Cricetulus griseus: one gene and its partners. The protein of the gene in region 2 purifies or fractionates together with the protein of the main gene of each other region. This does not show direct contact. Links are inferred from orthologs where the notes say so. Each region holds a gene or a part of one and is shown on either strand. Other genes may lie near its edges. The genes, in order: Epc2, Ing3 and Actl6a.

What was found.
Region 1: the proteins of Ing3 (region 2) and Epc2 purify together in Homo sapiens (affinity purification with mass spectrometry; 3 studies listed by BioGRID and IntAct, with this or other methods). This does not show direct contact. The link is inferred for Cricetulus griseus from reciprocal best matches to the Homo sapiens genes ING3 and EPC2.
Region 3: the proteins of Ing3 (region 2) and Actl6a purify together in Homo sapiens (affinity purification with western blotting; 3 studies listed by BioGRID and IntAct, with this or other methods). This does not show direct contact. The link is inferred for Cricetulus griseus from reciprocal best matches to the Homo sapiens genes ING3 and ACTL6A.

Annotation. Positions count from the first base shown.
Region 1 is NC_048599.1:124,775,292-124,778,946, reverse strand, and holds part of Epc2 (enhancer of polycomb homolog 2), read left to right. Parts: intron 1-2,838; coding exon 2,839-2,987; intron 2,988-3,655. UniProt on the Homo sapiens protein: May play a role in transcription or DNA repair.
Region 2 is NW_023276806.1:205,244,304-205,247,958, reverse strand, and holds part of Ing3 (inhibitor of growth protein 3), read left to right. Parts: intron 1-1,098; coding exon 1,099-1,170; intron 1,171-1,902; coding exon 1,903-2,022; intron 2,023-2,308; coding exon 2,309-2,466; intron 2,467-2,958; coding exon 2,959-3,152; intron 3,153-3,655. UniProt on the Homo sapiens protein: Component of the NuA4 histone acetyltransferase (HAT) complex which is involved in transcriptional activation of select genes principally by acetylation of nucleosomal histones H4 and H2A.
Region 3 is NW_023276806.1:116,638,827-116,642,481, reverse strand, and holds part of Actl6a (actin-like protein 6A), read left to right. Parts: intron 1-89; coding exon 90-187; intron 188-2,387; coding exon 2,388-2,482; intron 2,483-2,732; coding exon 2,733-2,839; intron 2,840-2,936; coding exon 2,937-3,026; intron 3,027-3,655.

The DNA of each region.
Region 1 (3,655 bases), on a different chromosome or scaffold from region 2:
ACCTCAAAGTCTTACACACACACACACACACACACACACACACACACACACACACACACCGTGACACACTTCTTCCAACAAGGCCACACCTTCTAATAGTGCCACTCCTTTGCAGATCACCACAGTCTTCTCTTATGCTCCATATCATGTATTAATACTCCCCTCTGGAGCTGGAGAGATGGCTCAGAGGTTAAGAGCACCAACTGCTCTTCCAGAGGTCCTGAGTTCAATTCCCAGCAACCACATGGTGGCTTACAACCATCCGTAATGAGACCTGGTGCCTTCTTCTGGTGTGCAGATATATATAGAAGCAGAATGTTGTATACATAATAAATAAATAAAATCTTTAAAAAAATACTCCCCTCTAAGATCTATTCATCCTCTTTCTATTTTCATAACCACACATATACATATCTGTGCACATACAAATTTAAATTGAGATTCTATAAATGGGGGAAAATGTAGTATTTGTCTTTCTGAGTCTTGGCTTAGTTTGTATAACATAATGATCTCCAATTATCCATTTAAAATAAATTTCATTTTTCTAGCTGAAAGAATTTCCACTATGTATTTGTACTTTTTCTTTATCCATTCATTACATCTTTTTCTTTAGATGTCAAAACTTAAAAAAAATCAACAAAAACAGTTTAAACCACCATTTGGCAACCAACAATGCTAATAATTATCTCAGGTGAAAGAACCATTAAACTAATGAGGGATATTTTAATGACAAACAATGCTCATATAATTATACAGCATGCTAGGTTAATTTAAAAGGGAAAATATTTTAGTAGGTAAACCCAATAGACACCATCTTAATTAAGTAATCAGCAGTGATAGGACAAATTGTGTTTTCTAACTCTTGATAGGGTGTGAGTGTCATTTCTGTGGTAGTTGTGTCAAAAACATACAACCTAAATATAATCATGGGAAAACATTGAAACTCAAATTGAAGAATACACTACAAAAATAAATACTCCTCATTTAAAAAATGGAATCATGATGAACACAGAAAAATAGAACTTTTCCAAATAATGGAGTGTTAGAAAATAACAACTAGAAACAGTGTTTAATCCTGAGTCAGACTTGCAAAATAATTAATTTTGAGATTAAAAATACTGTCTCACCAATATTCTATTGATCTTAGTTTCCAGATTTTGATCACTGTGCTATAATTGTGTGAAAGCATCATTGTCTTTGTAAAACCAGATTAGAATATTTAGGGACATTTGTTCATCTCAAATTTGGAAAATACTACCAAATTTGTATATTTGTGTATATTTATATACCTAACTAGAGACAAAAAGCTAGTTAAACTTCAAACCTTTGGGAGATCTGGTTAGATCTATGGAAAGCATTTTTGCTATTTTTTGGTAACTTTGTCTGAAATTATTTCAAAATAAGTCATGTTTTGAAGAGTAGAGCAGACACAAAATATAGATGTAGCTTCATGAATAGTCATCTTTTGATTCTTTGTGTCATATATATGTATCTGGGAAGCACATATAGTATTAGCAGAATAGAAAGCATTTTAATGTTTGCTGTTGATCATGTTGATTTTTTTTTCAGTTACAAGTTATTGTTTCCTGTCTACCCTCCAAAATTGCTTTTAACTGTACTCCACCTACTATCTTTTGTCACAGAGTGCTAATGCAGTGAAGGGGGGATAAAGGTGAATTTTCTTCTGGCAAAATAAGATAATATCTTAGCATTTAGAAATACTCCATATGCAGTAACATAAAGGATTATGATTAACACTATTTCCAAGTGGATAAAAGGAAAAATAAAACTCAAGGCTTTTATATTTTCATTCGTAATCTATTATGAAACCTTAGACATACTTCAGATTCTTTCTGATATTACATTCAATTGTTAATTCAAGAATGAAAAGATGGTTTAAGTGTAGGTCAATCTGACAGTTGAGAAGTACTAAAGTTCTGTGTTTAAATGTGACTCTGTATAAACACTGGGGACATTTGACTTAAAGCACACGTCATTGGTGATTTTATATTCTGATGAATGCTGCTTATTACAACAGAGTCATCTTTTATTTGAAGTTATGTTTTATGCTTACAAGTAAGAAGTTAGCAATAATCTGAAGTCTAAAGATTTTGCTAGATCTCTTTCTCCCCCTACAATGAGGTCTATGTTGAAGCATGAGAATCCCATTTCTTGAAATACTCAATATTCTGTTTTCAGTTTTCTGAGTTGCCAGAAGTGAAGTTTTGTTATTGTTCTTGATTATATGTATTGCTGGGAGCTTTTAGCTCTCACCTGCAGATTTGGATGGACATGGCTAGACACTCTTGTGGTCTATTTTTTCCATTCCTTGATCTTGGTAGAGGTGTTTTTTATCATTGGGTAGCACATTACTGCAGAAGGAGGACTTTATAATTTTCATATACTAGGTTTTGTGTCAGGTGGATTTTTTTTCTTTTTTTTTTCTTTTTTTTTTTTTTTTTTTTTTTTGGTTTTTGGGACAGGGTTTCTCTGTGTAGCTTTGGAGCCGATCCTGGCACTTGCTCTGGAGACCAGGCTGGCCTCCAATTCACAGAGATCCGCCTGCCTCTGCCTCCCGAGTGCTGGGATTAAAGGCATGTGCCACCAACGCCCGGCAGGTGGATTTTTTTCTACATTGAAATTATTCTTTCTGTACCATTAGTTATCAAAAATTAAGTTAAACAGATGAATTCTTGTGGAATTGCTATCTGGATATTTGCTCATTTCTTTTAATAATTTAAAACTTATAGGATAATTGAGATTTAGTAAGAGGTTGTTAAATGAAACTGGAAACATGAATAATTTCATTATTCTCTAAAATTGTTATTATTTCAAAAGAACCGTAAGAATGATGAAGCCTCTTATGAAAAGATGTTGAAGCTGAGACGGGAGTTCAGTAGAGCCATAACAATTTTGGAAATGATTAAGAGAAGAGAGAAAACCAAACGGGAATTATTGCACTTAACCCTGGAAGTCGTGGAGAAAAGGTAACATTGTGACTGTCCATACTAGGGCTATGTTAGCCAGGCTTTGTGACCATAGATAGAGATTATGTAATAAAATTTCATTTCTACCTTATAAATTTTGTCGTTGCTAGTTAATTTTAAAATTAGATTGTTTTGGTTTAGAATTTATTTGGGGAGATTGGAGTGTAGAGAATTGATCTTTTTAGATATTGGCAGAATCATTGTACTTGTACTTTGTACTTTTCTTAAAATCTAGGAATTATCTTGCCCATTTCTCTGTATGTTAGTTTTTGTTAAATGAATGGTTAAAAGGCAAAATTTCCTGTTTCTATTCCTCAGAATTATGATCTATGAGTATTTTCCTGCATAATTAAATAGACTGAAGTTCCATTAGGTTTTAGGGAATTTTGTGTGATTGCTGAAGTAAACATTCTAAGCAATATTCCCAGTGCTTGATAAAATACTTGAGAAATTTGTGTGTTATATGCCTTAGGCATTTTTAAAGTTCTTGATCATTGTGTTTTTATCAGAATCTCAAATATGAACTTGGATTTTGTAACTTTTTTTGTTTTTTAACAGTAATCTGCTATCCTAAAGCTAGGCTTGGTGATACATGCCTATAATTTCAGCAGTTGAGGTTGCACAGGGAGATCAGGAGTTGAAGCAAGTTTGAGGCCACCTGGACACTT
Region 2 (3,655 bases):
AGTTTGGTAATAGGGTCAGATTAGGTAGGTAGTCGCTGAGTATTAAAGGAGATTACTATGAGAATTCAATTACAGTGTTCCAACAGACCATGTACCCTGGTACATTTACCAGCCAGAACTTGTTCCTATGTCTACAGCAGATAGTGGTTTTCTGGACTGCAAGGTACCTAAGCTCTATGTTTACCAGACACGAGAGGCTCATCTGGAGAAGCAGGCATGTGTCTGTTAATGAGAATGGCAGTTTTAAATGTAAAAGTAGATCATCACTTCACACAGTTATCTTCTCTAGTGGGGATACCTTTATTCTGGAGGAAACCTATCTGAGGATAATAGGTGTTAGAGAACAAAATGAAACATTGTGTAACTGCCTTTGAAGTGTTTTGTTTTTCTTTTGGAAATGCTGGTGGTGAATACCAATAACCCATGCCTGCCTACTCACTGCTGCAGAAAGGTTAATAAAACATTGACTCCAAGGACACATACACATGAAATGGAACCAAATCACATCACAAAAAACTGCTCCATTCTGCCCCCTGACATGATTTTAACTCAAGGAATCGTGAATAAACTCAGAAAATTTCTTTAGAAGTATTTTCAAGTTTGGTATTAGGAATTCTACCCTCTACTTTTTGCAAGCAAAGTCCCTAAGTTCTTTTCTGGAGTTGTCGGTATCTCATTTGGTATTCATGGTTGAAGGGATTTCTTAGTATGCATTGATACCCCATACCTAGACCTTCAGGATTACCTATTGAAAGGTCTTCAGCTCTGTTACTAGATTGAATTTTTTAGCTCTTGCCATCACACCTCTTTATATGGTACCCAGAATCAAAGATTCCCTAAGTAGACATTAGCACTCAAGTAGACTTAAGCTCTTGTGGACCTAAGGTGAACACTGAAAGATGAGTCTGACTGCTTAGAGAGAAGGTTGTTCAGGATAAAATTGAAGGTTGTGACCCTCTTCATGCCTAGCTAAAATGATATGGTATGCACCAGAGCGTGGCTGTCATCTGTGAGAGGACACATTGTTTATGGCTGGTTGATGTGTAAAGTCCTATGATGACATTTAATCCTTGTTTGTCTCTGTGCCCCTCTCTCTAGGATCTTTGGAATTAGATACTCCTTCTCAGCCAGTGAACAATCACCACGCTCATTCACACACTCCTGTGGAAAGTAAGTTTGATTCAAGTACAATTTAAAGCTCATTAATGTTGTGTATATGTCTTTTATTAGCTCCACATAACCAACTGAGAAGTATCCTTCCCTTTCCCTTTTTAAAAAATACATTTTTGTCACAGTTGACTTTGCGATTTAAGCAAAGTGCATTTAATCTGAGAACAGGCAGTCTCTTCTATAAATACAGAGACAGAATATATAGAAACACCAGCGGCATCTCTCTGCTTCCTACAGACCTGAATTATATTTCTTCATATGGCTATGTCTCAGTCAGCCTCGCCTCTAAATGCTTAGCCTAATGTTTAGCATGTAATAAAGTCTCACTACCAATGAGTTAGTGAGTAAAAGAATTGTTGGATACATGGCTAGTTGATGGTGTTGCTGTCTTTTTTTTTTGGACAAGAGGAAAGAAAGGTAAATTGAAAGCTATTCTGAATGACAGGCAATATATTAAAATAGACTTCCTCTCATGGTATATGTGAAACCATAGTGCATCATAGGTTGTCTTTAGTATTTTGCTCCTATAAATTTCTAAAGTCCTTGAAGTGTCTGCTCTCTAAGTGAAACATGTGCTGTGGGCTGTTTGCTTGCCCCCTCCTTGCTGAGCATAATGGCCCATTTCATGGGGAACCTAGATCAGAATTATGGTTTATAAAGAGGTGGAAGTATTATGCCCAGTTTGTAGTCCTCTAAAGTTTAAAACTGTGTGAATTCTTTCTTTTTATTCAGAAAGGAAATATAATCCAACTTCTCACCATACAGCAACAGATCACATCCCCGAAAAGAAGTTCAAATCTGAAGCTCTCCTGTCCACCCTCACGTCTGATGCTTCTAAGGAGAGCACACTGGGTAAGTTGGTGCTCTTCAGTGTGGTAATTCCCTTGTTTTGTTTGTGTTGGAGTAAGGGCACAGAGAAGCACTCAGGGTTATTATTCATACCTGTGTTACCTGGCTAAAGTCTGCATGTGGATGGAGAATAGAAAAGGAAATTTGGCTTCCGTTTTTTCCATTGACTCAATCCCTAAAGTGCCTGAAGAATTTAAATTTCATGATTATATATGCTGAAAAATAATGTATTTTAAACCCGCAACATTGTGTTCTCAGCCCCCATTTTTATTTCTTTACCTCTTTACAGGTTGCCGAAATAATAATTCCACAGCTTCCTCCAACAATGCTTACAATGTGAATTCATCCCAACCCCTGGCATCCTATAACATTGGTTCATTATCTTCAGGGACTGGTGCAGGGGCAATCACCATGGCAGCAGCTCAAGCAGTGCAAGCAACAGCACAGGTGAAAAGTCAAAGGTTTAGAGGCAAATGTTACCTTTTGCTCCTGTTCTTGGCAACCCCCAATAGGAACCACTAGGTTCGAAGTGACGGGTTGAAGACATTGCCTGGTTTCGGTTTGAAGTTGACATTTAGGCTGGGTGTTGTTTTATTAATAATGCAAGGGGTTGTTGGGTAGAGAGTGCACTGTGGGTATCACACGCCCACCTTCTCCCAGTCAGTGCTCAAGTAGCCTGGTTCTCTTTGTGAGGACAGTGACTGTTCTTTCTGCAAAGTTAGGCTTCTGCTGGATTTGTGGTGGCTGCATTTAGCTCATTTCTGTAGTTTGCACACAGTGCAAGTTAAGAAGTTCCATTTCCCATAGTTTTTCTCAACTTAGCATAAAAATGATTTAGCATCTTTACATGAAATGACTTAAGTAACCATAACTTGTAATGCTTAAAAGAGAAAATACATATTTACATATATTAATGCTGTCAATGCCTGTCTACTTAAGATGAAAGAAGGACGAAGAACATCAAGTTTAAAAGCCAGTTATGAAGCGTTTAAGAATAATGACTTTCAGCTGGGAAAGGAATTTTCAATGCCCAGAGAAACAGCTGGCTATTCCTCCTCATCGGCACTCATGACAACCTTAACCCAGAATGCCAGTTCCTCAGCAGCTGACTCGAGAAGTGGCAGGAAGAGCAAGTAAGTTTTGGAGTGGAAGTGTGTGCCTTTGCTCAGTGCTGTTTGCATGGAGCCTCAGCTGGGCCTTTAGGAATTAAGTAAGGCAGGGTGCAGTGACCCAAGCAGACTGCTGGCGTGGGCAGATGGCTGGTGGCACTGCCTGACCTTGAAGGCTGGCAGTTGTTTAAGTGTTAAAGTCATTTGTAATTTTTTTGGACTTTGCATATAAGTGACTTTTTTTTTACTTTCTTTTGTTCAAGATAAACCATTTTATGGTACTGTTTCCATTTTTAGGTATTTCATGGTTAATTAATATAAAATGCAAATTGTATTCCAGGAAGTTTTTCCTTTTGATTAACAGTAAAACATCTAAATTTTTGCTGATGTCCTGAAAACTGATTACATGAAAATGTCCCTAGATTTGGTATGTGAGAGACTTAGGGTGATTGTGTGAACTGTGGAAATGAAACTTTGCCATGTTCATCTAAGGTAATAGATACAGCAGGTATTTATACAACTGAAAT
Region 3 (3,655 bases), about 89 Mb from region 2:
TGCCAATATGGCTCTGTAATATAGCATGAACTAGCCAGTGCTTTAATTACTACACATTGAATAACTGGGGTCCTTCCTCCCTTCTGCAGTGGAACACCAGGGCAAAGAGAGAGAAACTGACAGAGTTGATGTTCGAACACTACAGCATCCCTGCATTCTTCCTTTGCAAAACTGCAGTTTTGACGGCGTATCCTTAAACAATGTGACCGCTTTTCTCTGTGATTGTAAGATATTAGTGAGGATGTGTTTTCCTTTTTTTCTAGCTTTTTACCTATCTTTGAGTATTTTTAAGTTTTTTTCCCTGTTGTTGGTATATGTACACAGTGCTGGGTTTCATAATCACAATCTCCTTCAAATATATCATGTACCTGGACCATATTCACCCGACTCCTTAGATTCCCCTGCATGCTCTAATAGTCTCCCTACTTTCTTTTTCCACTCTGCCATCCAGGGTGGGTGCATATGCATGCACACAAATGCATGTGTTTTTAATGTATCTGTGAAGAATACTTGGATTTGCAAATACCGTTGTACATGTAGTATCTGTTTGCCTTGTCTCATGTAATTTTTTTCTTCAGTTTTTGTGCAAACAGCATTATTTCATTCCTCCCGGGTAATCAAATCTCCCATGTGTGTGTAGACCAAGTTCTCTTCATGTTGATGGACACCTAGGCTGACTTTATGACTTGGCTGTTGTAAGTAGTGCTATCATGAGTGTGAGTATGCAGGTATCTTGTGCTGTGTTGACTTAGTTCTTTTGGCATAGACCTAGTAGGTCTAAGTGGATACTAAGTAACTTTGTAATTTTTTGAGGACCCTCTTTACTAATTTTCATAGTGGCTGGACTAATTTACAAACTGGCAGTGAGTTCTCCTTCCCAACATCCTCATCGACTTCTGCTGTCTGTTCTTTTGCTGATAGCCATTCTGATTCAGGTGAGATGAAATTTCATTGTGGTTTTAATTTGTATTTTTATGGTAGATTTAAGGGTGTTGAGCATTTTCTCTTGGTTATTTGCCATTGGTAATTCATCTTTTAAGAGCTTTGTATTCATGCCATTAGGCTATTATTGATTAGCCTGCTTGTTTTTGGTCTAGTGTTTTGAGTTAGGTATGTATTCAGATAGTAATCCTGTGTCTGATGTGTATCCAGCAGATTGTCTGCAATTTCTGTGGGTAGTATGTGCTTCTGGAGTCTTTCTAAAATCATTTTGTGCTGTTAGGATGGTTTTCTGGGCTCCTTTTCTCTACTTTGAGGCTGTGCTGAACTTGTTTTGTGCCCACCATGTTCTCTTGACTCTTGTATCTCCTTCTTGCTCTTTCTCCATCCACATTACACCCCCTCCCCCATTATTGCTGAAGTCCCAGGAATAGGCTGGGTGGTCTGTTCTTCATTTTTCCAGGACATGCCAAGCTTTTCTTTCTGCAGATAAACTGACCTCTGTTTTACTAAACAAGATACCCTTTAGGGCAGAGATGGCTTGGGTTAGTTTTATGAATCCTTTGTCTTTAAGGAACGTTAGTGGCAGCCTTGTTGTATCCTCCACCCCCACCCATCTCTGTCGTTTACCTCCTCTGAAATGTTACTAGTCACCAGACTCGGGAGGACGTAATAGAAGTTGAGGAACCAGTGAAAGGCCCAACTCATAAACTTGCATATGGGTTGTCGTGTGTAGTTGGGGGAAATGAACCTGCCTTTTTCAGCTGTTGAGTCCACCTGGAATTGCTTGTTGGGCTTACTGGGGTAGAGGCTGGAACCACCAGCTAGCTGCCATATCACTGCAGTGCTTCTCCAAGCTCTCTACCCAAGGTTCTCACAGCCTCTTGCTGTTCTTGTCAAGTTTGTAAATTTTGTTTAAAAAAATTTTCTCAATTTGTTATAAGCCTTTTGATCAATTGTAGAAGTTTTCAATATGCTCGTTTTGACCCGCTTAATTAAAAAAGGGTTCTGCATAGAAACTGCTCTGGGAGTCCTCCTTGTGGAAGTTCATTTTCAAGATAGATTAATTACTGACACCCATTTTTCTCCCTAGACAGCTTTTTTTTTTTTTTTTTAATTCTTTTATTAGTTCAAATTAGGAACAAGCCTGCTTCACATGTTGATCCCTCCCCCTTCTTTCTCCCCTCCCCACCAACATCCCACTGCCCCTAGCTATCCCCCCTCCACTCCCCAGGCAGGGTAACGCCCCCAAAAGGGGCTCCCCAAAGTCTACCACATCATCCTGGGCCAGGCCTAGGCCCTTCCCCATGTACTAGACAAGCTTTTATACAATGCAGGTGATAAAGTATGTTTAAAGAACTGGCTTGAACATTACAAGAGCCAGCCTGTCATAATCAGCACTATCCTTGGAGCCTCGATGCTTATTTTTCCTTAATGCTTTAAACTAGATTTGCTAATGGTCGTTCTACTGGACTGATTTTGGACAGTGGAGCCACCCACACCACTGCAATTCCAGTCCACGATGGCTATGTCCTTCAACAAGGTAACTACTTAATGAGGGCACAAGATTACTTTCCCTGTCATGAGGACACAGATAATAAAGATAGATCAGGAATTCTATTGGAGCCATTCATTCCCAAGTGAATATGTTTTAAGTGAATGCATGGCTTTATGCTTTGAGAGGATAGTTTGGATAATTCTACTCAAAGAAACCTACACATATGCCAACACATTCACAGTCCCAAGGAATTCAGACTTTTGGCATCTTCAGCTTTGTTTGATTTGATTCTCAGGCATTGTGAAATCCCCTCTTGCTGGAGACTTCATTACCATGCAGTGCAGAGAACTCTTCCAGGAAATGAATATAGAGCTCATTCCTCCATATATGATTGCATCAAAAGTAAGCAGCATGAGAAGTTTCTTAGTGAGCCCTGCCTTGTGCTTCTGCTCCTGTGTGGGGAAGCCTCTTAGAAAGCATGTGCTCTTGGTGTTCTCAGGAGGCTGTTCGGGAAGGCTCTCCAGCCAACTGGAAAAGAAAAGAGAAATTGCCCCAGGTTACAAGGTCTTGGCACAATTACATGTGCAATGTGAGTAACCCCTATTGTCTTTATAGAGTGTTGGTTCTAAGTTACATGTTTTTAACATTTGACAAAATGAATACCTTAGGGGTGGGGAGCACTTGCCATATTATCAAAGCAGTCCCTACAGACAAATATAGCAGCTTGAATACATGGAAGAGGTTTTGGTTTTAGGGTAGAAATAGTTTTAGCACACTATTTTATAATAGTGTGCTATTATAGCACACTATAGCATTTTTAAGATGCTTTTAACTGAGCATGAGTTTGAGGCCAGCCTGGTCTACAGAGTGAATTCCAGGACAGTCAGGGATACACAGAGAAATTCTAAAAACAAAAAAGAAGATGCTTTTAGTTCATGTCAAACTTAGTATAACTTAGGTATGATTTCTTCTCTAGCATTAATTAGACATTCAGGAGTATGTCTCATTGCTTCAACAATGAGTCAATGAGACTTTTTACTGAAAATCTGTGTCTGAATATGTAGACCTATGTGGGTGAGAGGTTGGTATATTTGCCATTCCATAGATTCTAATTTCTAGGAGTAAAGGAATATGAAAGCCATAATTGACTAAGTGTATTCTGAGAGCATGTTGCATCCAAGTTTATATGTGTTAGAATGTGTGCTGATGATTCTGTGC